Callithrix jacchus: one gene and its partners. The protein of the gene in region 1 interacts with the protein of each later gene in a biochemical or structural test. Links are inferred from orthologs where the notes say so. Each region holds a gene or a part of one and is shown in the gene's direction. Other genes may lie near its edges.

Evidence for each region.
Region 2: of the proteins of MAPK3 (region 1) and DUSP1, one has a biochemical effect on the other in vitro, tested with the Homo sapiens proteins (2 studies listed by BioGRID and IntAct). The link is inferred for Callithrix jacchus from reciprocal best matches to the Homo sapiens genes MAPK3 and DUSP1.
Region 3: the proteins of MAPK3 (region 1) and PTPN7 form a complex in vitro, tested with the Homo sapiens proteins (3 studies listed by BioGRID, with this or other methods). The link is inferred for Callithrix jacchus from reciprocal best matches to the Homo sapiens genes MAPK3 and PTPN7.
Region 4: of the proteins of MAPK3 (region 1) and MBP, one has a biochemical effect on the other in vitro, tested with the Homo sapiens proteins (5 studies listed by BioGRID). The link is inferred for Callithrix jacchus from reciprocal best matches to the Homo sapiens genes MAPK3 and MBP.
Region 5: of the proteins of MAPK3 (region 1) and ELK1, one has a biochemical effect on the other in vitro, tested with the Homo sapiens proteins (6 studies listed by BioGRID and IntAct, with this or other methods). The link is inferred for Callithrix jacchus from reciprocal best matches to the Homo sapiens genes MAPK3 and ELK1.
Region 6: of the proteins of MAPK3 (region 1) and SP1, one has a biochemical effect on the other in vitro, tested with the Homo sapiens proteins (2 studies listed by BioGRID). The link is inferred for Callithrix jacchus from reciprocal best matches to the Homo sapiens genes MAPK3 and SP1.
Region 7: the proteins of MAPK3 (region 1) and PTPRR form a complex in vitro, tested with the Homo sapiens proteins (2 studies listed by BioGRID). The link is inferred for Callithrix jacchus from reciprocal best matches to the Homo sapiens genes MAPK3 and PTPRR.

What each region holds. Positions count from the first base shown.
Region 1 is NC_133513.1:29,405,771-29,409,698, forward strand, and holds the start of MAPK3 (mitogen-activated protein kinase 3), read left to right. Parts: upstream 1-1,128; 5' UTR 1,129-1,163; coding exon 1,164-1,342; intron 1,343-2,350; coding exon 2,351-2,533; intron 2,534-3,928.
Region 2 is NC_133503.1:65,119,004-65,123,259, reverse strand, and holds the start of DUSP1 (dual specificity protein phosphatase 1), read left to right. Parts: upstream 1-1,456; 5' UTR 1,457-1,696; coding exon 1,697-2,063; intron 2,064-2,340; coding exon 2,341-2,486; intron 2,487-2,849; coding exon 2,850-3,069; intron 3,070-3,519; coding exon 3,520-3,890; 3' UTR 3,891-4,256. UniProt on the Homo sapiens protein: Dual specificity phosphatase that dephosphorylates MAP kinase MAPK1/ERK2 on both 'Thr-183' and 'Tyr-185', regulating its activity during the meiotic cell cycle.
Region 3 is NC_133520.1:29,191,739-29,195,776, reverse strand, and holds the start of PTPN7 (tyrosine-protein phosphatase non-receptor type 7), read left to right. Parts: upstream 1-1,238; 5' UTR 1,239-2,004; coding exon 2,005-2,537; intron 2,538-3,443; coding exon 3,444-3,627; intron 3,628-3,925; coding exon 3,926-4,010; intron 4,011-4,038. UniProt on the Homo sapiens protein: Protein phosphatase that acts preferentially on tyrosine-phosphorylated MAPK1. Plays a role in the regulation of T and B-lymphocyte development and signal transduction.
Region 4 is NC_133514.1:119,420,668-119,424,167, reverse strand, and holds part of MBP (myelin basic protein), read left to right. Parts: intron 1-2,733; coding exon 2,734-2,853; intron 2,854-3,500. UniProt on the Homo sapiens protein: The classic group of MBP isoforms (isoform 4-isoform 14) are with PLP the most abundant protein components of the myelin membrane in the CNS. They have a role in both its formation and stabilization.
Region 5 is NC_133524.1:48,610,085-48,614,219, reverse strand, and holds the start of ELK1 (ETS domain-containing protein Elk-1), read left to right. Parts: upstream 1-1,335; 5' UTR 1,336-1,490; intron 1,491-4,135. Other genes in the region: protein UXT, read left to right, coding at 34-87. UniProt on the Homo sapiens protein: Transcription factor that binds to purine-rich DNA sequences. Forms a ternary complex with SRF and the ETS and SRF motifs of the serum response element (SRE) on the promoter region of immediate early genes such as FOS and IER2.
Region 6 is NC_133510.1:66,144,082-66,147,581, reverse strand, and holds part of SP1 (transcription factor Sp1), read left to right. Parts: intron 1-1,481; coding exon 1,482-1,681; intron 1,682-2,426; coding exon 2,427-2,740; 3' UTR 2,741-3,500. UniProt on the Homo sapiens protein: Transcription factor that can activate or repress transcription in response to physiological and pathological stimuli.
Region 7 is NC_133510.1:73,448,541-73,452,468, reverse strand, and holds the start of PTPRR (receptor-type tyrosine-protein phosphatase R), read left to right. Parts: upstream 1-1,128; 5' UTR 1,129-1,469; coding exon 1,470-1,527; intron 1,528-3,928. UniProt on the Homo sapiens protein: Sequesters mitogen-activated protein kinases (MAPKs) such as MAPK1, MAPK3 and MAPK14 in the cytoplasm in an inactive form.

The sequences.
Region 1 (3,928 bases):
ATAGTCTGAGATGGACAGGTGTGATCCCAGAGCTTTGGGAGGCCAAGGTGGGAGGATTCCTTGAAGTCAGAGTTTCAGACCAGCCTGGGCAACATAGCAAGACCCAGTCTCTACCCACCAAAAAAACATATTTTCTTTTCTTTTTTTTTGAGATGGAATCGCCTTGCTTTGTCACCCAGGCTGGAGTGCAGTGGGCGATCTTGGCTCACTGCTGCAACCTCTGCCTCCTGGGTTCAAGCAATTCTCCTGCCTCCACCTACTGAGTAGCTGGGATTACAGGCGCCCACCATCAGGCCCCAATAATTTTTGTATGTTTAGTAGACACGGGTTTCACCACGTTGGCCAGGCCGGTCTGAAACTCCTGACCTCAAGTTATCCGCCCAACTCGGCCTCTCAAAGTGCTGGGATTATAGGCGTGAGCTACCGTGCCGGAACCCCCCAAAATTTTTTAATTAGCAGGGCATGGTGTTGTCCACTCGTAGTCCCGGCTCTTCGGGAGGCTGAGGTTGAAGGATCGCTTGACCCCAATCACTCGAGGCTGCAGTGAGCTATGATTGCACCACTACACTCCAGCCTGGACGACAGAGCGAGACCCTGTCTCTAAAAGAAAAAAACAGTATAGGATTTTGAGAGGCATGGAATTATAAAGAGCCTCTGTGTCAAAAGACATCATTTTGAGTCTCACGTCTGTCATTACTAGGGACCTTACCCAAGTTAGTTAACCCAACTCACAGATTGCCGATCTGTAAAATTTGATTCATTTATTCGAACATTTTTTTGATCTAGGGTGATCCCGGGCCCAGGTTCTGGTGGGCTCCCGCACACATTGGCTGGCTGGCTCTGGGAGGTCACGCGCTGGCCGCTTCATCATCGAGGAGAGGGTGAAGACGATCTCCGAGGCCGCGCTGCTGAGCCTTCCCGTGGCCTGGAGGCCACGGAACCAGCAGGGATCCAAGGCCCGCGCACCTAGGGCTGGAAGGGCAGGCGCGCGCAGGGCGGCTCACGTGACAGCCCCGGGCCCGCCTGGGGTCGGGGGCGCGCGGGGGCGGGGCGGGGGCGGGGCCTGGCGCGCGCGGCCCCGCGGGTGACAGGCGGGCGGGAAGGGGCGGGGCCTCGGGCGGGGCCGCTGAGGGGAGGAGGGCGGCGGGAGGGGAGGAGTGGAGATGGCGGCGGCGGCGGCGGCGGCGGCTCAGGGGGGCGGGGGCGGGGAGCCCCGGAGAGCCGAGGGGGTCGGCCCGGGGGTCCCGGGGGAAGTGGAAATGGTGAAGGGGCAGCCGTTCGACGTGGGCCCGCGCTACACGCAGCTGCAGTACATCGGCGAGGGCGCTTACGGCATGGTCAGGTGAGGGGGCGTTCCGGGGGAGGGGGCGCCCTCGGGGGAGGGGGCTTCGCGGGAGAGGAGGGGGAGGCGCCGAGCGCTTTCCAGGACGTGGAGACGCGGAGCGTCCCGAGGAGGCCGGGGACTCGGGATGATCGGGAGCGTCCCAGGGAGGGGTCCCTGAATGCTTTCTGGGGGAGGGGTCGCTGCTACGTCCTCAGAGGAGGGGGCTTGGAGCTTTGAGTCCAGCACTCCGTAATGACGGGAGGGGCATCTGAGTGCATGTGGGGGACTGCCGGGACCCTAGAGACACGGGGCAAGGCCCAGAGGATGAGTACTCTCGGGGAGGCGACATCCTTAGTGAAGGGGCAGTGGAGGGTCGTTCTGGGGGAAAGGGTGTCTTGGATTCCCTGTGAGGCAGTGCTTGGAAGCCTGGGGGAGAAGAACAGAGATCAGGGTGTGGCAGGGCTTTGGCCCTCCCTTCCCACCACCACCAGGGGCTCAGTGAGGGATGAAGGGGCCAGGAGTGCCACCTGCATGTTTTGGGAGGGGTCTGTGAGTGCCCCCCGCCCCTCCATGTGCTCTGGGACAGCCTGGCTGCCTGGGCCCCTCACTCTGGGACCCTCCCCTGCCCTGTCCATTCCCTGGCTGCTGCTTTCCCACTGTGTTTGCCCCATGGTGTGGTCCCAGCATCTGCACCCCTGGACCTGTCTTGGGTTAAGGAGCCTTTCCTGGGAAGTGGGGTGAAGGGTTCAGGGCCACTAGAATGAAAGGGGATTGAGGAGAGGGGAAGTCAGTGAGTGGTCAGTCTCTTCCTCTGTTTGTAAAGTCACCGCAGGGGCGCCTGGCTGGTCCCCAGCTTTCTCTCTAGAGATCCCAGGCCTCCACAGCAGGAAGGAACCAGCATTGTTTATGAATTGGCCAGAGCCAGCTCCTGCTCCCTCCCCTCCCTGCCAAGGCCTGGGTGGGGCCACCAGGCCTGGACTCCCACTTTGTAAGGCCACAGCAGCAGCCTCTCTCTGGTCCCCTCAGCTCGGCCTATGACCACGTGCGCAAGACTCGAGTGGCCATCAAGAAGATCAGCCCCTTCGAGCATCAGACCTACTGCCAGCGCACGCTCCGGGAGATCCAGATCCTGCTGCGCTTTCGCCATGAGAATGTCATCGGCATCCGAGACATTCTTCGGGCGTCCACCCTGGAAGCCATGAGGGATGTGTATCCTTCACCTTGGCCTTCATGGCCTCCGAGCTGGGCTGGGGAACCATCACTTGCTTTCTGTTTCCATCTTCCCCACCATCCTCCAAAAAAAACCCAGTAAAATAAACTTTCCTGCAGAGGAGAGGCCACAGTGTAACAGGACTTGGAGGCCTCTGATGAATCCAGGCCTGTGGCAGCCGGGCAGTATGGCCTTGAGCAAGTCGGTTCTCTGCTCTGTGCCCCAGGGGGAGAGCTGGGCAGGATGGTCTCTATGGGAGTGTTGTCTTCTGACATCTGCAGTTCTGAGACATGACCCGGCCACAGCCCACAGTCACTTCTTGATAACAAATGGACGATTCTTTTCTCTCTTTTCTCTTTCCCCAGACTGGAAGGGAGACAGGGAGAAAGAAAGCTGTCAGCCGGGTGCAGTGGCTCACGCCTGTAATTCCAGCACTTTGGGAGGCCAAGGCAGGTGGATTACTTGAGGTCAGGAGTTGGAGACCAGCCTGGCCAACATGGTAACATTGTAAAACCCCATCTCTACTAAAAATACAGAAAAAAAAAATATATATAGCCGGGCCAGCTACTCTGGAGGCAGGGGTAGGAGAATCACTTGAACCCAGGAGGTGGACAGTGAGCCAAGATCATGGCATTACATCCCAGACTGGGTGACAGAGCAAGACTCTGTCTCAAAAAAAACAAAAAAACTACCTTTCTTGAGGGCCTATTGTGGGTCAGGTACTATATATGCCCAGTGCTTTATTTATTTATTTTGCTATTACACCTTCCAGCTATCCTATGAGATGGGTTTTTCAGCTCCATTTTTTTTTTTTTTTTTTTTTTGAGACGGAGTTTCACTCTTGTTACCCAGGTTGGAGTGCAATGGCACGATCTCAGCTCACCGCAACCTCTGCCTCCTGGGTTCAAGCAATTCTCCTGCCTCAGCCTCCCGAGTAGCTGGGACTACGGGTGCGCACCACCATGCCCAGCTAATTTTTGTATTTTTAGTAGAGACGGGGTTTCAACATGTTGACCAGGATGGTCTCAATCTCTTGACCTTGTGATCCACCCGCCTTGGCCTCCCAAAGTGCTGGGATTACAGGCATGAGCCACTGCATCCGGCCTTCAGCTCCATTTCAAAGATGAGGGGTGGAGAGCAATGGCTCACGTCTGTAGTCCCAACACTTTGGGAGGCCAAGACTGGAAGATTGCTGGAGACCAGGAGTTCAAGACCAGCCTGGGCAGCATAGTGAGACCCCATCTCTACAGAAAATTTAAAAATTAACCAGGTTTGGTGGTGCACAATTGTAGTCCCAGCTACTTGGGAGGCTGAGGCAGGAGAATGGCTTGAGCTCAGGAGTTAGAGGCTGCAGTGGGCTGTGATTGTGCTACTGTACTCCAGCCTGGGGGACA
Region 2 (4,256 bases), on another chromosome or scaffold:
CATTTGAGCAGGCGGAAAGCACACAGGCTAAGCGAGACAAATGCAGAAGTTGCCTGTGGTGATACAACTCGCACAGCGACGACAGAGGGTGGCCGGCGAATTCCCCTCCCCCAGGAGGGGAGGAAACCGCAGAATGTTCCTGACTCGGCACCCGGGCGGGTGGCGCAATGTTTATGTTTGTGTACCTAGCGCGTCGCGTCGCTGCAGCAGGCCCCGCTGTCCAGGGGGCCGTCACTGGGACTCAGGGCACGGATATTGCTGTGTGGGGTCTTCCCAACCGTTGCGATCCAGGTCCTGTCTTCCGCCCAGAACGGCCCGGGATTGGAGTTTGCTTTCAGCCAGTAACGGCCGCGACGACCGGGAGCGGGGGGAGGAGGGGCGGCTTCTGTTCCGGATTGGAGCCCCCCCCCCGCCAGCTTAGTGGGCGCTCACTCAGTATACTGTATATTTGTGGAATAAAGAAAGGGATGGAGAAGCTCGGTCTTGAGCCAAGGTGACAGAAACGCGTCGGACGGCCCCTGGGGGGAGCCGTCGAGTCGCGCTGCGGGTCGCCCCTCACCCCTCAATACGCCAAAACCCGGAACCCACCGCAGGGCCTTGCGACCCCCACCGGGATTCCAGCCCCCTGACCTGCCTTCTTCGGCTCCAAGTCTTCCGGGGGCCACAAGACTAGTAATTATTTCCCGGTGGGGGTTTGCTTGCTTGCATTTTCACGGCAAACGTAGGTATTTTAAAGCCACCTTAAAGAAAGTCTGGGAAACAGGAAAGCATTGCCCTGAACCTCTCCACCCCAACTCGCTCAGGTCGCTCTTGGTAGGAACGACTTTTCTATCGGCAGAGTTGTTCATTTTTCTATAAACTTCATCTTAGGCGCCTCTTTGCTGCTCCTACCACCACCCCAGCAGTGTGGTTCTGGGCAAGTCCGTCGCTTCGCCCGGGGAACCTGTTTCCTCGCTCGTTAGTGATGAGGAAATAAGAGAAAGGGGCACAAGACTATGCAAAAGTGCAGGAAGCCCCTTTCGGCTAGGTCGGCGGCCGAGGGGCGCTGGGAAGGGGACTCGGGGAGGGAGGTGTCCGGGGAGCGGCGATGCCGAGGCAGGTGGCATGTCGCCCCCTCTCCGGGCCGCTCGCATCCCGGAGGTCAGCCTCAGCTGGCAGCAAGCTCTCCTCCGCCCCGCTGGGCCCCGAGCGCGGCGCGGACCAGGTCCCAGGGGACGCGCCAGGAGCAGGGCGGGGGCCGGGCCGCGAGCCAGTGCGCGGCGAGCGGACCCGGCTCCGAGGCTGATGACGTCTTCGCCTCTGGCTCGGCGGCGCCAGGCCGGGCAGGGCGGGTGACGTCACCACTCTATCACGTGATCACCATTCAAACAAACACCCCCTCCCCCTGCGCGCCCGCCCGGTCCGCCCCGCCCCCCGAGAGGCCGCTTATAAAGGCGCTTTCCCACTCTGGCTAGCTGTGAAGGACGTTCGGGCTGTGTGCGCGACGCTGATCGGAGGGGCAGTCGGGGCCGCTAAGAAGCCGAGGAACCCTGAGTCCTGCGTGACGCCCCTCTCAGTCCAAAAGCGGCTTTTGGTTCCGCGCAGAGAGACCCGGGGGGCGGTGTCGAGCTTTTCCTCGAAAGCCGCCGCCCTGCCCTTGGCCCCGAGGACAAAGAGCACCGCAGGGTCGAGCACACTGGGGGCGCTGAAGCCGGCCATGGTCATGGAAGTGGGCACCCTGGACGCCGGAGGCCTGCGGGCGCTGCTGGGGGAGCGCGCGGCGCAGTGCCTGCTGCTGGACTGCCGCTCCTTCTTCGCTTTCAACGCCGGCCACATCGCCGGCTCGGTCAACGTGCGCTTCAGCACCATCGTGCGGCGCCGGGCCAAGGGCGCCATGGGCCTGGAGCACATCGTGCCCAACGCCGAGCTGCGCGGCCGCCTGCTGGCCGGTGCTTACCAAGCCGTGGTGTTGCTGGACGAGCGCAGCGCCGCCTTGGACGGCGCCAAGCGCGACGGCACCCTGGCCCTGGCGGCCGGCGCGCTTTGCCGTGAGGCGCGCGCCGCGAAGGTCTTCTTCCTCAAAGGTACGCCCTCGGGGAAGCTCTGGGCGGGCCGTATACCCCTGAGGTTTTGCCCGGTACCCCTGGCCCTCGGCTCCTGGGGGCCCGCCCCGTCTGCAGCGCGTGGGCGTTGGAATACATTTATCTCTGGAACTTGTCATTGGCTTTGTTTGGCTCTGGGAACAAAGACTTGCCTGGGCCTTTCGGATGTAAACTTCCAGCCCTTGGTGGGTGGGGGAGTTTGTATGAAGGTGCCCAGTCCCGGCGACACTAATGGAAAAAAATGCCTTTGTATTCCCAGGAGGATACGAAGCGTTTTCAGCTTCCTGCCCGGAGCTGTGCAGCAAACAGTCGACCCCCATGGGGCTCAGCCTTCCCCTGAGTACTAGCGTCCCTGACAGCGCGGAATCTGGGTGCAGTTCCTGCAGTACTCCACTCTACGATCAGGTTAGTAGGCGCCCCTGCCACAGGGGAGAAGTAAGAACTGGCAAAGACATGGAAGAGCAGTGCCAGGGAGAATATAGAAAGTGACCTACAGCTTTATTTATAAGAGGGGACACAGGGATATGATTTATTCCACAGTTAAGTGGTCTGATGAAGCCGAGTCTCTAATTGTAGGCTCTACAGAAATGAACTTGCTGGTCCTGCCCAGGCAAATGGGCTTAGACCTCTATTTATTTATCCTCCAGCAAAAGAACTGAGTTCACCTGGTATCTGAAATTGACTTCTCCAGCAGGAAGTTTTTGTGGGTGTGGGCACTGGCCTTGGCTTTGAGCAAGCTGACGAAGGTTGGATATTTCTGGATTTCAGGGTGGACCGGTGGAGATCCTGCCCTTTCTGTACCTGGGCAGTGCCTACCATGCTTCCCGCAAGGACATGCTGGATGCCTTGGGCATCACTGCCTTGATCAACGTCTCAGCCAATTGTCCCAACCATTTTGAGGGTCACTACCAGTACAAGAGTATCCCTGTGGAGGACAACCACAAGGCGGACATCAGCTCCTGGTTCAATGAGGCCATTGACTTCATAGGTAAATGGAATTGATGCCTGGGGCTTTTCTGCCTCTCTCTTCTCATTTTAGCCCCTAAGCCCATCCTCTGTAGCAAGGACTTGAATGAAGTCTTCTGAGCCTTCTTCCACACATTCAGTATCTGTCTAGTGTGGGCAACATTCCTGCAAAATATGAATTTGATTTGATGTCCCACTTTACAGATTAGCAAACTGGGGCTCACAAAGTTGAATTGACTGGTCCGAGATCTATCTGCTGAGTGGAAACTCCCAGTCTGGGTTTAAATCCTGTGCCACCCTTTGCATGGCACCCACATTGCCTTGCTCCATGAGCAGTATCCATGTGATGGCATGTGGTGATAGTGACCATTTCTAGATAAGACACCCATGACTTTTCTCAGACACCCTGTACCTGGGCTTGGGGTGGTTCTCCTGAGCTCTCAAGTAACTAGCTGCTCCTTTTGTTTTCCAGACTCCGTCAAGAATGCTGGAGGAAGGGTGTTTGTCCATTGCCAGGCAGGTATTTCCCGATCAGCCACCATCTGCCTCGCTTACCTCATGAGGACTAACCGAGTCAAGCTGGATGAGGCCTTTGAGTTTGTGAAGCAGAGGCGAAGCATCATCTCCCCCAACTTCAGCTTCATGGGCCAGCTGCTGCAGTTTGAGTCCCAGGTGCTGGCCCCACACTGCTCGGCAGAGGCTGGGAGCCCTGCCATGGCTGTGCTGGACCGAGGCACCTCCACCACCACCGTCTTCAACTTCCCTGTCTCCATCCCTGTCCACTCCACGAACAGTGCGCTGAGCTACCTGCAGAGCCCCATCACGACCTCTCCCAGCTGCTGAAAGGCCACGGGAGGTGAGGCTCTTCACATCCCACCGGGACTCCAGGCTCCTTCTTGAGAGGAGAAATGCAATAACTCTGGGAGGGGCTCGAGAGAGCTGGTCCTTATTTATTTAATTTCACTCGAGTTCTCCTGGGTTCCTAACCAGTCGTCCTGATGACTTAGCGTCAAGACATTTGCTGAACTCAGCATTCGGGACCAATATGTAGTGGGTACATCAAGTCCCTCTGACAAAATGGGGCAGAAGAGAAAGGACTCAGTGTGTGAGCCAGTTTCTTTTTGCTTGCCCCGGTTTTTGTAGAATCTCTTCATGCTTGACATACCTACCAGTATTATCATTCCCGACAACACATACACATATGAGAAT
Region 3 (4,038 bases), on another chromosome or scaffold:
CTGTCCTGAGCACAGGAGCCAACCCCTTTCCCAGCCCTAATCCGCCTCCTCCTCAGGGAAACCCACCCACTCCAGAGAGGAGCACAGGCTGCAGGAAAGAAGGCACCAGGGTCTGCTGGCCATGAAGGGACTCAGAAAAGAGCCAGCCCCTGTCCCCACTGCCAAGAGCAAGCGCAGGTGCTGGGAGGCCTCCTGAGTTTCAGAGGGTTATTGCTGTCCTTCATATCCAGCCCTCCCCAGGGGGCCAGCAGAAAGCCAGCCCCTCCCGATCACCCCCTCCAGCGTGCCTACCCCTGTGCCTATGGTACCTCATTTCTTTTTTGCTGTCACCATTTGACAGCTGAATCAGGGAAGTGGGAGGAAGAAAGAGGACGTGGATTGTGCGTGTTGGGGGCCGGGAAGGGAAGGGTGTTTGAAATATTACAAGGTAAAAGGAGGCGTGCAGCAAGCGTGAACCAGCTGGGCTGCTGGCCCACAAGGAGCCTGCCAAGGCCAGGCAGGGGCAGGGGGCAGAGGAGTCTTGCACTTGGGGGCCACCCCTCAGGTCCCAGGCACCCCAGCAGCGAAGAGGACATGGGAGTCCCCTGCTGTGAGGGCCAGAGACTGTCTGCTGTCTGTAAGTCTTCCAAGCAGATGTCAGGGTTCTGGGAGGAGGCCCGCAGGGGATTGGGGGCCCAGGGGAAGCCCCTCAGATTCCCTCCTACAAGTGGACTCTGCTATCTGCCTACGGAGAGCCCGGCTGTGGCACAGGGCATGGAGACGACCTTTTTGGCCTGGCCGGGGCCTTTCCTTCCCATTGTGAGGCATGGATTCTTGCCTCCTCCTTTTCCCCACCCCAAGTCTGTGTCACATCTGCTCTGGGAAGATGTGGTCTGTGCTTGGCCATGAATTCCCAAGGCTTGAAGCAGCAAGGGCTTCGAGGGAGAGGGCTGTGGGGCAGAGGCAGAGAAGCAGAAAAAGCCTCTGGCCAAGGTCAAGACCCAGAGGAGAAACACAGCAGGACGGGAGAGGGTCTGGAAGCCGGGGGAAGCAGGATGGTAGAAAGGCCTAGCCCCTCACCCATTCCCAGGAAACAGGGCCTTGGGATCCATAAGGGCAGAGGCAGGAGGCACCCGACCCCTGGTGGCAGCAGCAGCAGGCACAGGAGGGCAGCATGCAGCTGGGGTATGCGTGGGTGGCAGCAAGGAGGGGCGGAGGGAGGAAGCTGGCTTCCTGAAGCCTTCTCAGCCCTCAAAGACAGACTGACAGACAGACAGACAGCTGGCAAGAGGCAGCCTGGGGGCCACAGCTGCTTCAGTAAGTATCTGAAGGGGGACCGGGAGTCCTGTGGCCCTGGGGGTTGCGAACTCCAGGGATATAAGGGGGCATCTGCAGGAGGGAGTATGGGAGGGCGAGTGGGGTGCTACAGGGCCTGGCTGGGGAATGGGTGCTCACAGCCCTGATGTCCCCCAGAAGGGGGTAAGCACGGAAGCCACAGGGAGCTGCAAAGAGAGCGGAGGCTGAAGACCCCCTTTCTGCTGCCAGAGACCCTCTTTCTACCACCCACACCTGCGCCGGACCCTCCCTGTCCCCTTACCTCCATCCCTGCCTTGCTGACTAATCACCCCCACCACCTTGCCCGCTGTGACCCTGGCTCTGGGAGATACAGACTGTCCCCAAGAGGAGATGGTCCCACCATCTGCATGCCCCCTGTCTTGCCCCCAGCTGTCGCCTCACCATGCACTGTCGCTCAAGGGCTTGGTGAGGCCATTTCCTGTGACGGTTACAGAGGCGGGAGGCGGGGGATGGGCAGGAGGAGGAAGGAAACACCCCCAGCCTACCTCCCTGGACAGACACCCCAGAAGCCAGAAACGGACTTAAGAGTGGAACATCAGCAGTTAGGAGAGGACCCTGCCGGGGTCCTAGAGCTGGCCTGCCTGGCTGCCCACCCATCTCCAGCACTGCTGCAGCTGCCATTCCCTGTTGAGGAGAAAGCCCACTGGTTAGCTCCGAGATGGCTTCTGCATGCTTTCTCCCTTCCGTCCTAGAGAACACATGTCTTCCATTTCCTCCCTTGCCTTCTCCACTTGGACCCGCAGAGCCCTGTGTGGCCTCTCTCTTCTCTCTCCTCCTCCTTTTGGCTTCTTTCCTATCTTCATCCACAATCTCTACCTTTATCTTGCCGTTACTCTAACCCCAGACTGCCTTCTGCCCTGGGTCCCACCAAAGAGATCCTGTCCTTCCTGTAGTGAACATGAGGCTACCTCTTGGGAAACAGGAGATGCCCCAGTGAAAACGGAGCGCAAAGCCGGCCTGGGCGTGGAAGCCTCCTTCTGGCCAATCAGGCAGGCCAGGGAACAGCAGCGGAGGGCCCTGTCTTTCAGGCAGACCTCATGGCTGAGTGAGCCTCTCCTGGGCCCAGCACCCCACCCCAGCATGGTCCAGGCCTGTGGAGGGAGCTCCACAGCCCAGCCACCGACCATTTCTTTGGGGGCAGCCATGACCCAGCCTCTGCCTGCCAAAACGCCAGCCAAGAAGCATGTGCGGCTACAGGAGAGGTAAGATCTCCCCTGGGGGAGGGGTCTTCCCGGCCCTGAGCCCCATTCCCTTCCTCCCTTTCCTCCACCTGCCCCTCCAGCTCTGACAACATAGTCCAATTGTTGACTCCAGTATGCAAAGGAAACCAGTAGTGCTCATTTGCATGTGTTTTGCATGTCTGGAGCACAGAGTTTCTTAACAACCCTGAGCCTGATCCCTAAATTCCAGGCCAGGCCAGTGGCCTTCTTGGTGCTGGATGCACGTCAGAGCCACAGGGCCTGGCTGGGAGTGGGAAGAGGCAGGCAGCTGGAAGGAGCAGTTGAGTTCAAGGCTGCCCTGTCTGGCTGACACAGGGCTGAGCCCGGCATGGTAGCTCATGCCCAAAATCTCAGCACTTTGAGAGGCTGAGGTGGAAGGATCTCTTGAGTCCAGGAATTGGAGACCAGCCTGGGCTAGGAAGGGGCGGGGGGGAATGTATACAGCAGGGGCCTGAACCCTAAATTCACTGGGCCTCCAGGTTAAAGTAAAGACAAGAAGCGGCCCCCTCAGAGGTGCCTCATAACAGTAATACTTGTAAGAAAAGCAAGTATGGTCAGGCACAGTGGCTCATGCCTGTAACCAGCACTTTGGGAAGCCAAGGCAGAAGGATCACTTGAGCCCAGGAGTTCAAAACCAAAAAAAAAAAAAAAAAAAAAAATTATTTTAAATTAGCCAGGCACAGTAGCATGTGCCTGTGGTCCCAGCTACTCCGGAGGCTGAGGTGGGAGGATCGCTTCAGTTCAGGAGTTTGAGGCTGCTATGAGCCATAATAGTGCCATCACCTTCCAGCCTGGGCAACAGAGAGAGACCCTATACCTAAAAGAAAAGATAAAAAGCAAAACAAATACGATTGGGTGCTCACTAGGCAGTGTGGACTGTGCCTGCAGGCGGGGCTCCAATGTGGCTCTGATGCTGGATGTCCGGTCCCTGGGGGCTGTAGAACCCATCTGCTCCGTGAACACTCCCCGGGAGGTCACCCTACACTTTCTGCGCACTGCTGGACACCCCCTTACCCGCTGGGCCCTTCAGTGCCAGCCACCCAGCCCCAAGCAGCTGGAAGAAGAATTCTTGGTAAGAAATTGAGGTCCCTTCTGAATTGCTCTGCTCTGTGTCAGAGGCAGCCAGCTGGAACCATTCTCTCACAGGGACCGTCGGCCTGTCTCCTCTTTGGACCCTTAGGAAAGAGAACTCTAGGGCTGGGGGAGGGGGCTCCACCTGGGCTTCGCCTTCTGCAGCCACCCCATCTAGGCCTACATATTAATATCAAGAAGGAACAGCCAGAGCCCAGTTGTTCTAGAAAAGAATAGAAGAGGAGAAAAGGCGGCTAGGAAGGGGAGTCAGCTGCTCACTCATTTCTTCCCCCTGCCAGAAGATCCCTTCAAACTTTGTCAGCCCCGAAGACCTGGACATCCCTGGCCATGCCTCCAAGGACCGATACAAGACCATCTTGCCAAGTAAGATCTGCAGCTAGGATGAAGGGAG
Region 4 (3,500 bases), on another chromosome or scaffold:
CTAGAACAGAACCCACCTACACTTACTGCTCAGTTAATAAGCGTCATATAAATGAACGAATACACTTTAAAAGACAACAAGAGAAAGAACAGGAAGGAAGAACAGGAACAGAAAAGAGAAAGAAAGTGGGAAAGAGGGAGGAGGGGAAGCAGCACTTGAGAGAATGGCGGAGAAAGGATTCCACGCGGACCCCGTGTTAGTCCCACACTTTATTACGCTGAATCATGAGCTAAGATGTTTCCTGAAACGTCTCATATTCATGCATACTTGACTTGCGTTTTCTGACATAAGGAATTTGCCAGACGACGGCAGTCATGTAGAAATGTACACGGGCCAGGACTCACAGCCAATTAATTGTTTATTCTCTGTGCCAGCAGGAGACAGATGACACTGAAGAATGAAATTCATTTCTGGCCCAGAAATCTCACTTTAGCTACCGCTTTATCTGCTCTTAATTTTCTAGGCGTGGACTTTGGGGCGCACGCAGAATCCTCCCTGAATGTGGAGCGCTGGGGACCGCACACAGGCCGTTCCGCCCCGCAGCTAATGAGAAACCCCCTGCAATCCTCTCTGCATCTCTCCTTTTTGGGTCCTACTAATGTTTCTTGAATTTTTCTTTTTTCCAAGCAAAACCCTTCTCTGCCTTTCATCTGCTTGGCTGTCCCCAGCGCTGCAGGACCCTATCCTGTCTGGAGTTGCAGAAAGCCCCACTTTCTCTTTCTAAACTGTGTGTGTGTGTCCTGGAACGTTCTAGGTTGCCCAAAGATAAACGTGACTAAGGATTTGAAAGGAGGAAAGGCCAGGCAGATTCTTAATCTGAAAGTCAGTCCCCAGATTTAGTTCTCAAAAACCATTTCTGGAGAAAAGCCATAGAGTGAGACAGAATGACGGAGCATGTGCTGGGGAAGTGGCGTTCTGCCATGTGGCTGGGACCACCAGCCTGGCCTCCCACGCCCCCTGCCATCAGGGTGCCCGCGACCCTGGAAACCTCCAGGACGCAAAGGCAAGGCTGGCTGTCCCCGCATGCGTGTGCTTAGACCTTCTTGCCACACACCCTCTGTCCCTCACGTCACGGGGTAGCCCCTAAATCAGCCGTTCACACAGAAGCAGCTGCCTGGGTTCTGAGTGACCGTGCTTGCTCCTAAGCACAGGTTAAATGAAAACTGGAAGTACTTGTACAGCGGGAGGCACCCAGTAGAGGTTCTGGGCGCCAGCCTACTGCTCTGGAAGCCTCGAGCCCTCTGAATTAGAGGGGGGCTAGGTTGGTCAGGGTCCTCCCTGTCCTAACACATTTTAATGACGTGGAAACAGGCTGCAGGCAGGTGCAGGGGAGATGGTTTGGTTCGGCTTCCACAAAGTCTTCAGGGCTCTAGGACAGGCTCCCACATCTTGTTGGCAAAACGCAGAGTGAGTCTGGGACCCTGACCATTGAGTAGATTCACAAGGCCCCCTGAGATCCCACCCTGAAAAGCCAACAGCACGGTCAGCCTTCCCACAGACAGTGCAGCCACCGAGGGAGGACACGTCACCCCAGTGGCTAACATCCCGCGCTCCCAGACCCCACAGCAAGCGGTGGACTTCCCACTTGAGAAGACAGCACAGTAGGAAGGGGCTAGTCCCAGAGCACTCACGCCCGTGTGTGTCAGGAAGCCCCTCAGTCACACGGCCCATGAGGAAGCCAGAGGGGCTGCTGGGGCTGACGAGGCCAGGGCAGGGCAGCCTGATCATCCGTAAACCACAGAGGGCACCACAGTCCAGAGCTGGCAGCCCCCACCTGGGGAGTGACATCGCCATGCATTCTTCATCGTGTTCTCACACAACTTCATTGTACAGATGAGGAAACTGAAGCTCAGAGAGGTTCCTGCCCCTGCCCAAGGTCACACAGCTGGAGGAGCTAGAAAGGTGCTAGGAGACTGGGAGGCTGGGGAGCTGAGACGCTGCACCCTCATCCCCATGCCCCGCGCCGGCCAGGCCTGCCTCCTCCCTCTGTCTTGCCTCCTCCCTCTGTCCCGCTCAGCAGCTCCAGGCTCCCGTCAGGGGCCTTGCTCCCAGTGCAAGCCACGGCCCAGGGAGGCTGATTCCTGCTCACGCCTGGGAGAAAGCTCAGGATTTTGTCTCTAAACTCTAGAAAAGATACGAGCCTCCACATTTTACTAAGGCCAGGGATTCCTGATCCCCCAGATAATCGATCCTAGAACTGCAGGGTCCATGTGACCAGAATCCAGTCTGTGCAAATCTTATCAGCGAGGAGCCCTGAGGAAAGGCCCTGGGCCCTCCAGGGGCCTCCGGGACGGGCCCCACACCCGGCACAGCCCCCAGGTGGGAGTCCTCCAAACACGGGTAGGCAGGAGCCTCCTTACCTTGATTTGCTTCATGTTTGCTAATCTTCTCTTGACCACCCCACAGCGCAAAGGTAAGCCACTGTTCCCTGAACGATGTAGATCCTTAACTATGTGTGTGGGAGCCACGTGAGAGAGCCACGTGAGAGAGCCACGAGAGCCTCTACCCAAGCCACAGCCCTCCTCTCTCTGCGGCTAACACCCTGGTAGGTCCGGGGAGCCGCCTCTCCCGCCCCGCCCCCCAGCTCAGGGCTGGCCTGTGGCTCCTGAACCACTCACCAGCCCAGTCCGGGGCCTGGGCCCTTCCCCGGGCCCCTGGTGGCAGCTCTCAGTGGCTCAAGCAGACTGCCTTGCACCTGGGGTAGAGGCTGAGCTCTGTGGTCTTTCTTTGCAGGGGGCCGAAGGGCAGAGACCAGGATTTGGCTACGGAGGCAGAGCGTCCGACTATAAATCGGCTCACAAGGGATTCAAGGGAGTCGATGCCCAGGGCACGCTTTCCAAAATTTTTAAGCTGGTAAGATACCCTCTGCTCAGCGTCACTGAGCAGGGACTGAGGGGGTCCCAGCAACGAACGCCAGCTGAGCTGAGCACAAGGGTGGTGGCTGCTTCTGACTCAGCCGCGCTGCACCATGCCCTGGGCATACTCTGTCCCAGCAGGCATGCCAGGGCGCAGGTGGCAGTGCCCATCTGCATTTGCACGCAGGTTTTCCCCGAGATGCATGTGGAGCTGCAGGTGCTTGAGGAAGGGCTGCACCTGGGCCGGTTCAGGAGCCGGAGCAGGCGGCTGACGTTGACTCTGGGACAGGGCTGGGGCCCAGGTGGACTGCAGTTTGCGTTGCCCAGGGCTTGGGCCCTCAGGAGCAAGCAGGAGCCAAGCAGACGTGGGTGTCAGGGGAGATCCCTAGAGCCACGGGAGGGGACGCCAAAGAGACAGCAGGGAGTGGAGAGTGTCCCATCGGCTTATGAGGACCTGGAGCCACCATACCCAGGACGAAGGCCAGGTCTGCTGTTAGCCACCTCTGAGACTCGGTCCTCTCATCTGTAAAATGGAGGTAACACGCCCACTCAGCTCACAGAATCACTGGGAAAGTAAAAGGTGGTGACAAACACGGGTTCCTTAGATAAGCAGTCACCATTATTATTGTTAAGCATCACCCAGAA
Region 5 (4,135 bases), on another chromosome or scaffold:
GACCCAGTCTTTGATCAGTCTCCTCTTTTTCAGGGGCTTAGAGAACTACAAGGCCTGCAGAATTTCCCAGAGAAGCCTCACCATTGACTTCTTCCCCCTATCGTCAGACATTAAAGAGCCTGAATGCCTTTGAGTCACATGGCATTTCTTTTTCCCCATGAACTCTGCTGGTTGCCACAGGGGCCTGTTACTAGGGCACAAAGTTACAGAGAGACCCCTGAGGTCCATTCTCTCTGTGGAACCTCTAAAATGCCCCAGCAGTCCTGCCTCCAGCCTGTTGCCTGGCAGTATTTGCCAGCTGACCTTATGCACTGCCCTCTCTTCTGTCATCTTGGCAACCTGGGCCCCCATCTCAGCCATTCCTTTTCTTAGACACCACCCTTTGATTTGCCATAGAGAATGAGCCGATTTATGGTGGTTTGTTCATTTTCACAGCAACCAAAGGGCCCTAAGGTTTACCCTTTCACACACCCAGTCGCTCCTCAGGTGCCCTAAATTACACCCACACCCACCTCAGCCCTGCCTTGTCCTAGCCCCTGCTTCTAAGTGGTTCCAGCTTCCAACAGGCAGAGCTGAATCCCGCTCTCCCTAGTCCGACCCCTGTTTTAGGTTGAGTCCAGCCGCCGCCAATCAACGCAGACCCAGGTTCCTCCCCTTTTTAAGTTCGGCCACAGTTCAGCCCTGCCCTCTGAAGACATTTCGTTTCTGCCACTCAATACTCCGTGTGCCTGACAGCCATCCTGCCCTCCTACCTCCGTTGTGTTCTAAATTCGTCTTCTACCCAGCTCTAGGGTCCTTTCTAACCATAGAGGTACACTGTCCGCCTACGCACAGCCCAGCCCAGCCCGACCCACTCCTGCCGGCTGCTACGCCCATTTCTATACAAGTCCTGCTTCCGCTGGGCAGCGTGGCGTGCGGCACCGCCCCCTTGGTGTTTTGGCAGGGGTCTAGAGTCCCTCATCCGCCAATCAGAGGAAAACAGGGCCACCCACCCCCGTCCTTGGAGGCTGTCTTCCATCAATCCCATGTAAGCCAATCAGTGTGAGGCAGTCCCCTCCGCGCCCCCCCACACACCCCCCCCAGCCTTATCAGTTGCTCACAGTCCGTCAGTCCTTGAGCCAATCGCCGTGGAGCACCAGGAAGGCGGAACAAGCCTCCTCGGGACTCCAGGGGCCGTGAGCATTCCATCATTTCCCCTTAGGCCAATCACAGCACAGCTCCGTGGGGAAGGTCCAGTCCCCCAGCCCCTCTAGGCCGTGTGGCCGATTAATAGCGCTTTGGCCAATCAGCGAGCGGCGGGACACTGGACTCCTCCTCCCCGTGCCCACGTGAGCCGTAGGGAAACGCAGGGGCGGCTTCTAGGTGCTGTCGCCGCCGCCACCGCCGCCGCCGCCTCGGAACCCAGGCCTGGGGGGCGGTGGGGCCGCGTATGGAGCCCCCGCCCCCCGGAGCTACCAACATTGCCAACGCCACCGCCACGCTACACACAGGTGAGCTCTGGGCTTGGAGGGTGGAGGGCCCGGTCCGTGACCCCACGTATCCTTCCCGCCCCCGCTCAGAGGATGTGGCTTGGCCGGTGGCCTGCTGGTGTTCGACTCCCCGCCGCCACCACCACCACCACCACGGCTGGTGGACCTGCTTGTGGCATTGCCCACGCCCTTCGCCCCTTGTAGTGGATCTGACCGTGGCCTAACCTCCCCCTCCCGTTGTATAATGGATCGGTCTGCGTGCTTATATTTTTTCCCACGCCAACTTAGGATGGACTCGTCCATAGGCTTTCCCCCTACCCCCACGCACCCCCCATCCACCCACACTTATAGGGAGCCCGCCTGTGGCAGTGTTCAGTCCCCTTAATAGTAGGTGTATCTGAGTGTTTGCATTTCTCCTAGCCTCAACTTTCAGGGGAAGACCCGTCCGTGGCCTTGTTTATTCTTCCCCTCCTGTTCATTGTAGCGAATCAATTCGTGGCGCCGCACCCCTCCACACACATCCCTCTTTAACAGTGGGTCTATCAGAGTTTGTATTCCTGCCTCCTCCAGTCCCCCAATGCATCAGTCCATGGCTTTTTTCAGAAACCCGCCACACACACACACACACACACACACACACCATCACCATCACCACCACCACCACCATTTTATAGTGGATCAGTCTTCATGTTTGGATTCACATCCCCTTAGCTATCAGTCCATTGCCCTATCTGTCCTCCCTTTTTCGTAGACTGTCACTGTAGCGCTTGGGCTTCTCTCTTCTTTTTAATAGTGAGTCAGTCAAGTGCTTTATATTTCCCTATTTTCAGTAGCTCAGTCCATAGCCTTGTCCCTCTCTGCTTTGAATCAGTCTGTGTGATGGCTTTTCTCTCCCCTCACTGTGGTGTGGTGCAGGAGTCTGTAAGGTTTTCTGCTCTCCTTCCCCTCAGATGTTGAGCCTCATCCCCCCTCCATTTTCAGTGGATCTGTTCATTGGCCTTCCTCCCCCACACCCCAGTATGCTTGCACAGTCCCCCGCATACCCTCCCCTGAGTCCAGTGCTTTGTAATTGGAGGAAGGTCTGCCGTGTACTTTGAATTTCCTTCTTTTTTTTCCCTTCCCAGAGGAGAACGTGCTGATCCTCTTTTCCTTGTGGTGGAGAAATGTATGGCCTTTCTTGTCCCCCACCTCTTAATATAGTGGGTCAGCCTGATCACACTTGTAACCACAAAGACGTTCTGCCTCACTACAATAAGTAAACACATTAGCGCCAGTGATGATTGTAATGCCAATAGGAGCTAGCGTTTATTAAGCACCTGCTGGGTATCAGAGTGTGTCATATGAATGAGTTTCTTTAATCCTCACCACAACCCCATGAGGTAGGTACTGAGGGAGCCGGGCCATAGGGAGGTTAAATTCCTTACTCAGAGGTGGCCCAGGAAGTACTCAGGGCACAGGATAATTTTTGAGGCTCCCCTCTTAGACCCCATCCCACCCCACGTGAGGCCTCGGTCCTTAAAAACCAAATTGGTTCCCATCTCCAAGCTTTTGTTCTTGCTGTTCCCTCTGCCTGCAGAGCTGTCTCCATTACCCACCTTGTCTCAGCACCCACCCACCCCCCAATCCCAGCAGCTCTGTGACCTTAGATGAGTGATTTAGCCACTTCCTCTCTGCACCTTTTTCTTCATTTGTGAAATGGGGGATCAGAACTAGAATCCCCTCCAGTGTAAATAAATATTACCTGTGAAATAATGGTAAAACAAGTAACCTTTTTAGCATTACTGCCTATACCTCCCCACCCCCTGACTGTGCTCCAACCACACTGCCTCCACTGCACAGCTCCTGAAACAGCAGCCATGGACCAGCCTCAGGCCCTTTGCATTGGCTGTTCTTTGTGCCTTGTATACCACTCCCAGATCTCTGCATGATTCCTTTCAGCACTTTGTTCAAATACCAGCCACCAAAAGTTTACCACACTGTGGTGCAGGGAATGCAAATACAAAAAGATAACATGTATCAAAGATGTTTCTAAGAATGCTCGTTTGTATATGAACAAGGATTTTCCTCCTTTTCGAAAGGCTGTGTTTACAAAACTGTGAGGTATGTAATAGGCTCTGTAATGGCACGGTATAAAAGCTGTTTCTAGGAGTGCTAGTTGCATATGTGAATAAGGACTGTGTTGCATTGAAAGAATGTGTTCACAAAACTGTGGTGTGTAGCCGGGCATGGGGGTGTGCACCTGTAGTGCCAGCTACTTGGACTGTAGCTGAGGTGGAAGGATCGCTGGAGCCCAGGAGTTCGAGGCCAGCCTGGGCAAAACAAAATCACTGTGGTGTGCGTAATACACTCTCCTAAAGGCACAGGCATAAAAGATGTTTCTAAGAGTAATCACTCTTTTTGTTGCACCTGGGTAGTGTTAGTTCAGTAAAGATTGATTGTCACACCATGGTGCTTGGAAAATACTATACAAAGGCACATGTATTACAAAAACAGTTCCTAACAATGCTGCTTGTAAAAACAAAAAAAAAAATCAACCCCTCCCTTACCATCTGAAGCTGCACACCCAGGAGGGCTCAAGCCAGGTCCCTGCTTTGTCCCTTTATCACTGTGACACACTGTGTGGGTTTCTTGTTTGTGTCTGTCTCTCCGCATTAGAATGTGAGTCC
Region 6 (3,500 bases), on another chromosome or scaffold:
ATTTTTTTATAGCGATGGGGTCTCCCTGTGTTGCCCAGGCTGGTCTCAAATTTCTGGGCTTAAGCAATCCTCCTGCCTCGGCCCCACAAAGTGTTAGGATTACAGGTGTGAGCCACCTTGTTCAGCCTAGAAGCCTTTTTAAAAAGAAACATTGGCTGGGCATGGTGTAATCCCAGCACTTTGGGAGGCCAAGGCGGGCAGATCACCTGAGGTCGGGAGTTCAAGACCAGCCTGACCAACATGGAGAAACCCTGTCTCTACTAAAAATACAAAAGTAGCTGGGTGTGGTGTCATGCGCCTGTAATCCCAGCTACTTAGGAGGCTGAGGCAGGAGAATTGCTTGAACCTGGGAGGCGGAGGTTTTGATGAGCTGAGATCGTGCCATTGCATTCCAGCCTGGGCAACAAAAGTGAAAGTTCATCTCAAAAAAAAAAAAAAAGCCTCTGGCCTGGCACAGTGGCTCACACTTGTAATCTCAGCACTTTGGGAGGCAGAGATGGACGGATTCATCACCTGAGGTCAGGGGTTTGCGATCAGCCTGGCCAACATGGCTAACTTCGTTTCTACTAGAGATACAAAAATTAGTTGGGCCTGGTGGCGTGCACTTGTAGTCCCAGCTACTTGGGATGCTGAGGCCAGATAATCTCTTGAACCTGGGTAGGAGAGGGAGAGGTTGCAGTGAGCTGTGATCATGCTACTGCACTCCAGCCTGGACGACAGAGTGAGACTTCGTCTCAAAAAAAACAAAATAGAATGAACAACAACAAAAAATGAGGCCTTAGCTAAGCGCAGTGGCTCACGCCTGTAATCCCAGCTGTTTGGGAGGCCCAGGTGGGCAGCTCACAAGATCAGGAGATCGAGACCATCCTGGCTAACATGGTGAAACCCCATCTCTACTAAAAATAAAAAAATTAGCCGGCGTGGTGGCCCACGCCTATAGTCCTAGCTACTTGGGAGGCTGAGGCAGGAGAATCACTTGAACCCAGGAGGCAATGTTGCAGTAAGCTGAGATTGTGCCACTGCACTTCAGCTTGGGTGACAGAGAGAGACTCAGTCTCAAAAGCAAAAAAAAGGAAGCCTTTTTCAAAAATAAAAGTTTGGTCACACCTGTAATCCCAGCACTTTGGGAGGCTGAGGCGGGCGGATCACAAGGTCAGGGGTTCGAGACCAGCCTGACCAACATGGTGAAACCCAGTCTCTACTTAAAAATACAAAAATTGGCTGAGTTTGGTGGCACGCCTGTAATCCCAGCTACTTGGGAGGCTGAGGCAGGAGAATTGCTTGAACCCGGGAGGGGGAGTTTGCAGTGAGCCAAGAGGGCACCATTGCACTCTAGCCTGGGTGACAAAGTGAGACTCTGTCTCAAAAAAAAAAAAGTTTGAGTAAGTTTGGTGTAGGTTGGGTAATTGCTGTTGATACTTTGTGGTTCTTTAGTTTCTGTCTTTAGAATGAATGATGAATAGTTGTATTCTTACTTTTAGGGGTTCAGGGGATCCTGGCAAAAAGAAACAGCATATTTGCCACATCCAAGGCTGTGGGAAAGTATATGGCAAGACCTCACACCTGCGGGCACACTTGCGCTGGCATACTGGCGAGAGACCATTTATGTGTACCTGGTCATACTGTGGGAAACGCTTTACCCGTTCGGATGAGCTACAGAGGCACAAACGTACACACACAGGTGAGCAAGAGCCTGTGGGAGAGAAAAATAGTAATAGATCAGAATGAAAAACACAAAATACACTTACAAAATAACTAAAATTTCTTAGCAACTTAATTTGAAACTGAATTATATGGGTCACAAATGGAATTGGAGTTAATCTGGAAAACTTTTAAGAAGGAAGGAGGGCCAGGTGCAGTGGCTCACGCCTGTAATCCCAAGACTTTGGGAGGCCCAGGCGGGTGGATCTCTTAAGGTCAGGAGTTTGATACCAGCCTGGCCAACATGGGGACACCCTATCTCTACTAAAAATACAAAATAGCCAGGCTTGGTGGCGGGCATCTGTAATCCCAGCTACTTGGGAAGCTGAGGCAGGGGAATCAGAAGGCTTAGTTGCAGTGAGCTGAGATTGCCCCACTGCACTCCCACCTGGGTGACAGAGCAAGACTCTGTCTCAAGGAAAAAAAAGGAAGGAGCTAGGTTTTGAGTGGGATTTTGAAGGCGAAGTATTGAAACCATTACTCTTAGTCTCTGCCTTGCCTTACTTTTCTGCTAAGTTCCACCGTCCTTACTGAGTACTCCCTAACCTTTATCTACTTTTCTTCCCTGTCCCCCCAACCAAAAGGAAAAGATACTTCAAGATTTTTCTTGTTTTTAATAATCTTGTCATACTGGCCTTATTCAGCCTAGTAGAGTTTGAAAGCAGTGAATTAGGTAAGGTAATCTCACTTCCTAACATGTCAGCTTCTTTTCTTCCTTTACCTAGGTGAGAAGAAATTTGCCTGCCCTGAGTGTCCTAAGCGCTTCATGAGGAGTGACCATCTGTCAAAACATATCAAGACCCACCAGAATAAGAAGGGAGGCCCAGGTGTAGCCCTGAGTGTGGGCACTTTGCCCCTGGACAGTGGGGCAGGTTCAGAAGGCAGCGGCTCTGCCACTCCTTCAGCCCTTATTACCACCAATATGGTAGCCATGGAGGCCATCTGTCCAGAGGGCATTGCCCGTCTTGCCAACAGTGGCATCAACGTCATGCAGGTGGCGGATCTGCAGTCCATTAATATCAGTGGCAATGGCTTCTGAGATCAGGCACCTGGGGCCAGAGACATATGGGCCATACCCATCAACCCTGGGATGCAAGGTAGCATGGGTCCAAGAGACATGTGGGAAGAGAGAGCCATGAAGCATTAAAATGCATGGTGGTGGGAAGAATTGGGAGAGGGATACAAGAGAAGAGATGGGGTCCTGGCACCCATCTATATCATCAGTGCCTCTTTGAAGGTGGGAAACATTAGTGAAAATTCTGTTGGTGCCACCCTTTGATGAGCATTTGTTTTACCCCAGTTTCTTCTTAAACTTCTTACTCCAGCCTACCCTTCCTGCATTTCTCTTCTCAGCTCTTCCATGATGGATCACCCCCCTGCCCCATTTCCTAAAGCCATCATGCCTTGATAAATATATATGATCATTGAAATACTTTTTAACAAAAAACAGATTCTATATTATTATATATATATAAATATATATATAAAGATATATAGAGATGCATTCACAGGGGTTGGCTGGGAGGAGGAAGAAGACCATTCTGTGACCAAAATACCTTGGTCATTTTTTTTATATTGCCTTATTTCCCTATGGCTGAGCCTTGTTGTGACACATCAGCTTTTCTGTAGATGTTGCCTTGGCTTCTCACCAAATTAAGCATTCATATGCTCTGCTTTTAGTTTATATATACATACATAATGTTTTTCCTTTCATAATTTTGTCTTTATTTGGGATCAGCTTCTTGCACTCCTTTCCTGACTCATCTGTTGCCATCTCACATTCTCATATCTGATCACTT
Region 7 (3,928 bases), on another chromosome or scaffold:
TATGGAAGAGAAAGATCACTGTAATCTAGAGTTAGTTAGAGTTAGTGCTTTCTGGAAAAGTGACACCAACATTAAACCTTGTAAAACTCAAGTGTGATTGTGATGCAAGTGAAGGAAAATAAGAAGGAGGCAACAGCATCCATGAAGACACAGACGCAGAAAGGGCAGTGGCCCTGGGAAGTTAAAAGAGAGAAGTCTAGGGAGGGACTTCTTGACCAGCAGCAATTAGCCATGACTAAGGCTCTCCACACTCCGAAGACTTAGATGTGGGGATAAAAACCATCTACATTGGACAGACTGTGGTAGCCTCCCTAGAGACACAGAGCTGGGTAGAAGGAGCCCAGGCACTGAAGTGATCTATTATCTTTCACCTTAAAGGGGGAAACTCAAGAAAATTAGTTCCATGAAACTAAAAAGTGCCTTCTTTTGCTTCAATTACATGGATACATTCTACTAGTCTAGAAATACAGCCTCGCTTCTTTCTGTCACTGTGATCATATACTTTAGACTTGAGTCAGAAGAAAGTTTAAATGCAGGGATTGAGCTGGAGAGAATGGAAAGAGAAGCGAAGAAGGGGAAGCTGTAGGAAGGACGAAGACACCCCCGAGATACATGGTTTCTGCTTACACCAAGCACGCTGCCTTGGGAACGCTTCCCCCAAGCAGCAAGAAAGCTCAGCAGTGGTGGAAGACATCTCTATTCCCGTAGGCGAGCCCTGGGAAGCTGGTCAATCTGCACGTGCCAATTCCTGGCAGTGAGCTAGGTCCACGTGTAATCAAGACTTGGGTAAAGAGTAAGGTGGGTGGCACGGTTGACACTGTCATCAACTCCCTCCTCTGGCCATGCCCCCATTTACTCTCACTCTGCCACACACCACCCTCGGATTTTTGATGGACTCTGGGTCCCTAGTAACCACGGCAAGCGCCTCCCCTGCACTTCCCACTTTCCCCACCCCCTCCCACCACCACCACCCACCCCAGAGGTAGAGCCTACTCTGCTCCAAGCCACCGCTAAGACCCGGAGAAGCGGAATTTCACTTTGAAACTCCCGTGCCTAGTGAGGGCCGGCGCTGGGCATGCTCAGTAGCCGCAGCGCGTCTGGGCTGCTGCTCACGCTGCACTGGCTGCCGTGCTGCTGCGCTGCTGGGCTGGCGCGGAGTCCACCCTGCCGTCTCCGCCTTGGCTGCTGGGTCCCGGGAAGGCCAAGCATTTGCCGCCTCTGAATGCTTCTGTCCCCTTTCCCCGAAACCTCCTACTCTACTTCCTCTTCCTCTCTTCCTCTCTTAGGGAGGTTGAAGCGGGTGCTCGTTTCTATCGGCGCCACAGACTGACTGATCTGCAAACCCCATCCGAGGACCTGCGAATGAATCCCGGAGACTAGAAGACCCTTGGCGGTGTCTCTTTCTAATAGCACTTTACCTAAAGTGGGGTCGTGGTGGGGTTTCTCCTCCACCTCTCAATGCACACACTATGCGGAGAGCAGTCGGCTTCCCTGCGCTGTGCCTGCTCCTTAATCTTCATGCTGCAGGTAAGGGGTTGCCAGGCATAGAGCCGGAGCTGTGCATGAGATGGGAAACTGCACATGCTTAGGACTCCAGGAAAAGCTTGCCTTGCAAAGGAAGCCTTTCTAAGAAGGTTAAAGCAGGACAGTACCTGACAGGGAAGGGGTGAGGGAGTTGTGCACCTGTTGGAAAACTGAGGCCGAAAACTTAAGCTAAAATTTGCCCTTTACCTTATGTGATTCTTTACCTTATGTGAAAATAGTGAACATTTTCAATATGAATACAGGTTTGCTCCCCGCTTCTCCTCCCCTCCGTCTAGACTCCCTGCTTTTGTTTCTAGGCTATGCACTTAAATGTCAATTTTTCAGAAGAGGGACTAGGCATCCTGCTGGATGTAACCTTTTCTACTGCAGCGGCTACATTCATAAGGTCTCTTGGTCTAGCGAACGCTCACAGGGAGGCATTGCATGTAACCTGATGGACCACATCTCCGCCCAAAAGACCGAAATACATGGTTCACATTAGTGATGCTGCTCCAGGCTCCTTTGGCCCCTGCTCTTGTCACTCGAATTTTCTAAACCAGTAAGAGGAAGGAAAGGTTTCAAATAGAATCCTCTTGTCTCTTTCAGCACCATGGCTAGCGTCCGCTGGCACGCAACGGGGGGAAAACCGGATCACAGTTCCAAAGCTTACAACCCTGGGGTAGGCACAGTCCCTAGGACAGATTTGAAGAGGTGTAACCAAGAATAACAGTGAGACTGCTCCCAAATATAAATAGATTTGAAGCACCATAATCAATATCAAATCTCGTGTAGAAGCAAACCTTGAAAAGTACCTGAGAGATATTACATGTGGTGTCCCTGCTTTTTGAATACATAGCACCTTTATGTAATGCGGAGAGACTTGCTGGGCTGAATTCCTTATCATTGTCTCACACACACATGAACCAAAATAAAATATGGCAGAGAGATTTTAGAAACACTACTGTGACAGCAGTTGTCCATGCAGTAGTCCCGTAACAACCAGAGACTAGGCATTTTCCCTGAGTTTGCATCTCATCCAATCACACATATCCATTCATTTCTTCAACCAACATTTGCTGAGTGTATACTATGTTCTAGAAGTAATGAGTAAAAATAATTGTTCTGAAATTACAATCCTTGTGGCATCTTTTTAAAAAGAGTGGGTGAATTTTATTCTCTGTGTGCATTAGTGGGAGTGAGATATGGTACTTTCTTATTCTAGCTAATGCTATTATTTAAATGCATCATGAATATTTTGAGCAAATAATGCATAGATTATTACAGCTATTACTAAACACACACATTACTTGTTATAATTATGATATTATATTGTGGAGTTTTCAATAGTTCTTTGGTACATTTTGAAAACCAGAAAAATAGCTATGATTGGATTATTAAATTATTTGCAAACAACTGTACTTAATTATTTCATTACCACATACAATTCTTCAATGCTAAAATGTGGGATGAAAACACATACATTGGGTTGAGTTTTATTTACAGTATTGCTGAATAATAAACTGATACAAACATTCATTACAGAAAAATCTCAATTCTTACTAAGTTAGCAATAATTAGCTGGTCTGCCAACAATATCAGTGTAGTTGTTTTTCAAAACTAACATATAAAAAAGTTTAAAGATCACATTTAATACAACTTGAGTAACTATACCTTATGCATTATAAATAAAATTAAGCATGTGAAAAGCATGTCTTAATTTACTGCAGATGAATATTTGGAATGAGGAAAATAGAGGACTTTTGCTCATCGAAAGAGAAACCTAGAAGCCTGTAGCCCTAGATTATACCTGGAGCTCTGCCAAAGGGTGTATTACCAAAGCCAATCCAATCTATCTCTACTTAAACTTTTTAATTTGCAAAACAAAGATTAAAAAGTAAGATTAATCAACCAATTTTAATTTAATGAGGCAATGCATTTAAGGGCATTTTATATTTCAATTGCAAGATGCTATATAAAATTAATTGTATTTGTATTTAATATAGTGATTTATACTGGTGTTTCATCACAGCAGATTGCAAGTTTAATATTGTAGTTCTCTTGCCAGTTTCATTTTAAATGCATTTTAATTTTAAACAGCAATTTGTGGGTCACAAGCTGTCATCAGATTAAAATTTATCACAGTAATCTAATAACATTGTTAGGGCTTTTCAGAACTGAAACAAACACAGCTTCTTGGTCAAAGCTTCTATATGTTTGGATACTTAGAAAATAAGTGAGTAGGATGACAAAGATGATGAAATCACTAATATATCTACTTGTTGAACATGTGAGTTTGTTACTTTTATGGAAGACTTTTCTCTCAGAACAGAAGCAGACTTCCTAAAGAAGGGAAATGATTTCTAAACATTCAGGCCTCTTTAACTGAAAAGCTACTTGATCCATT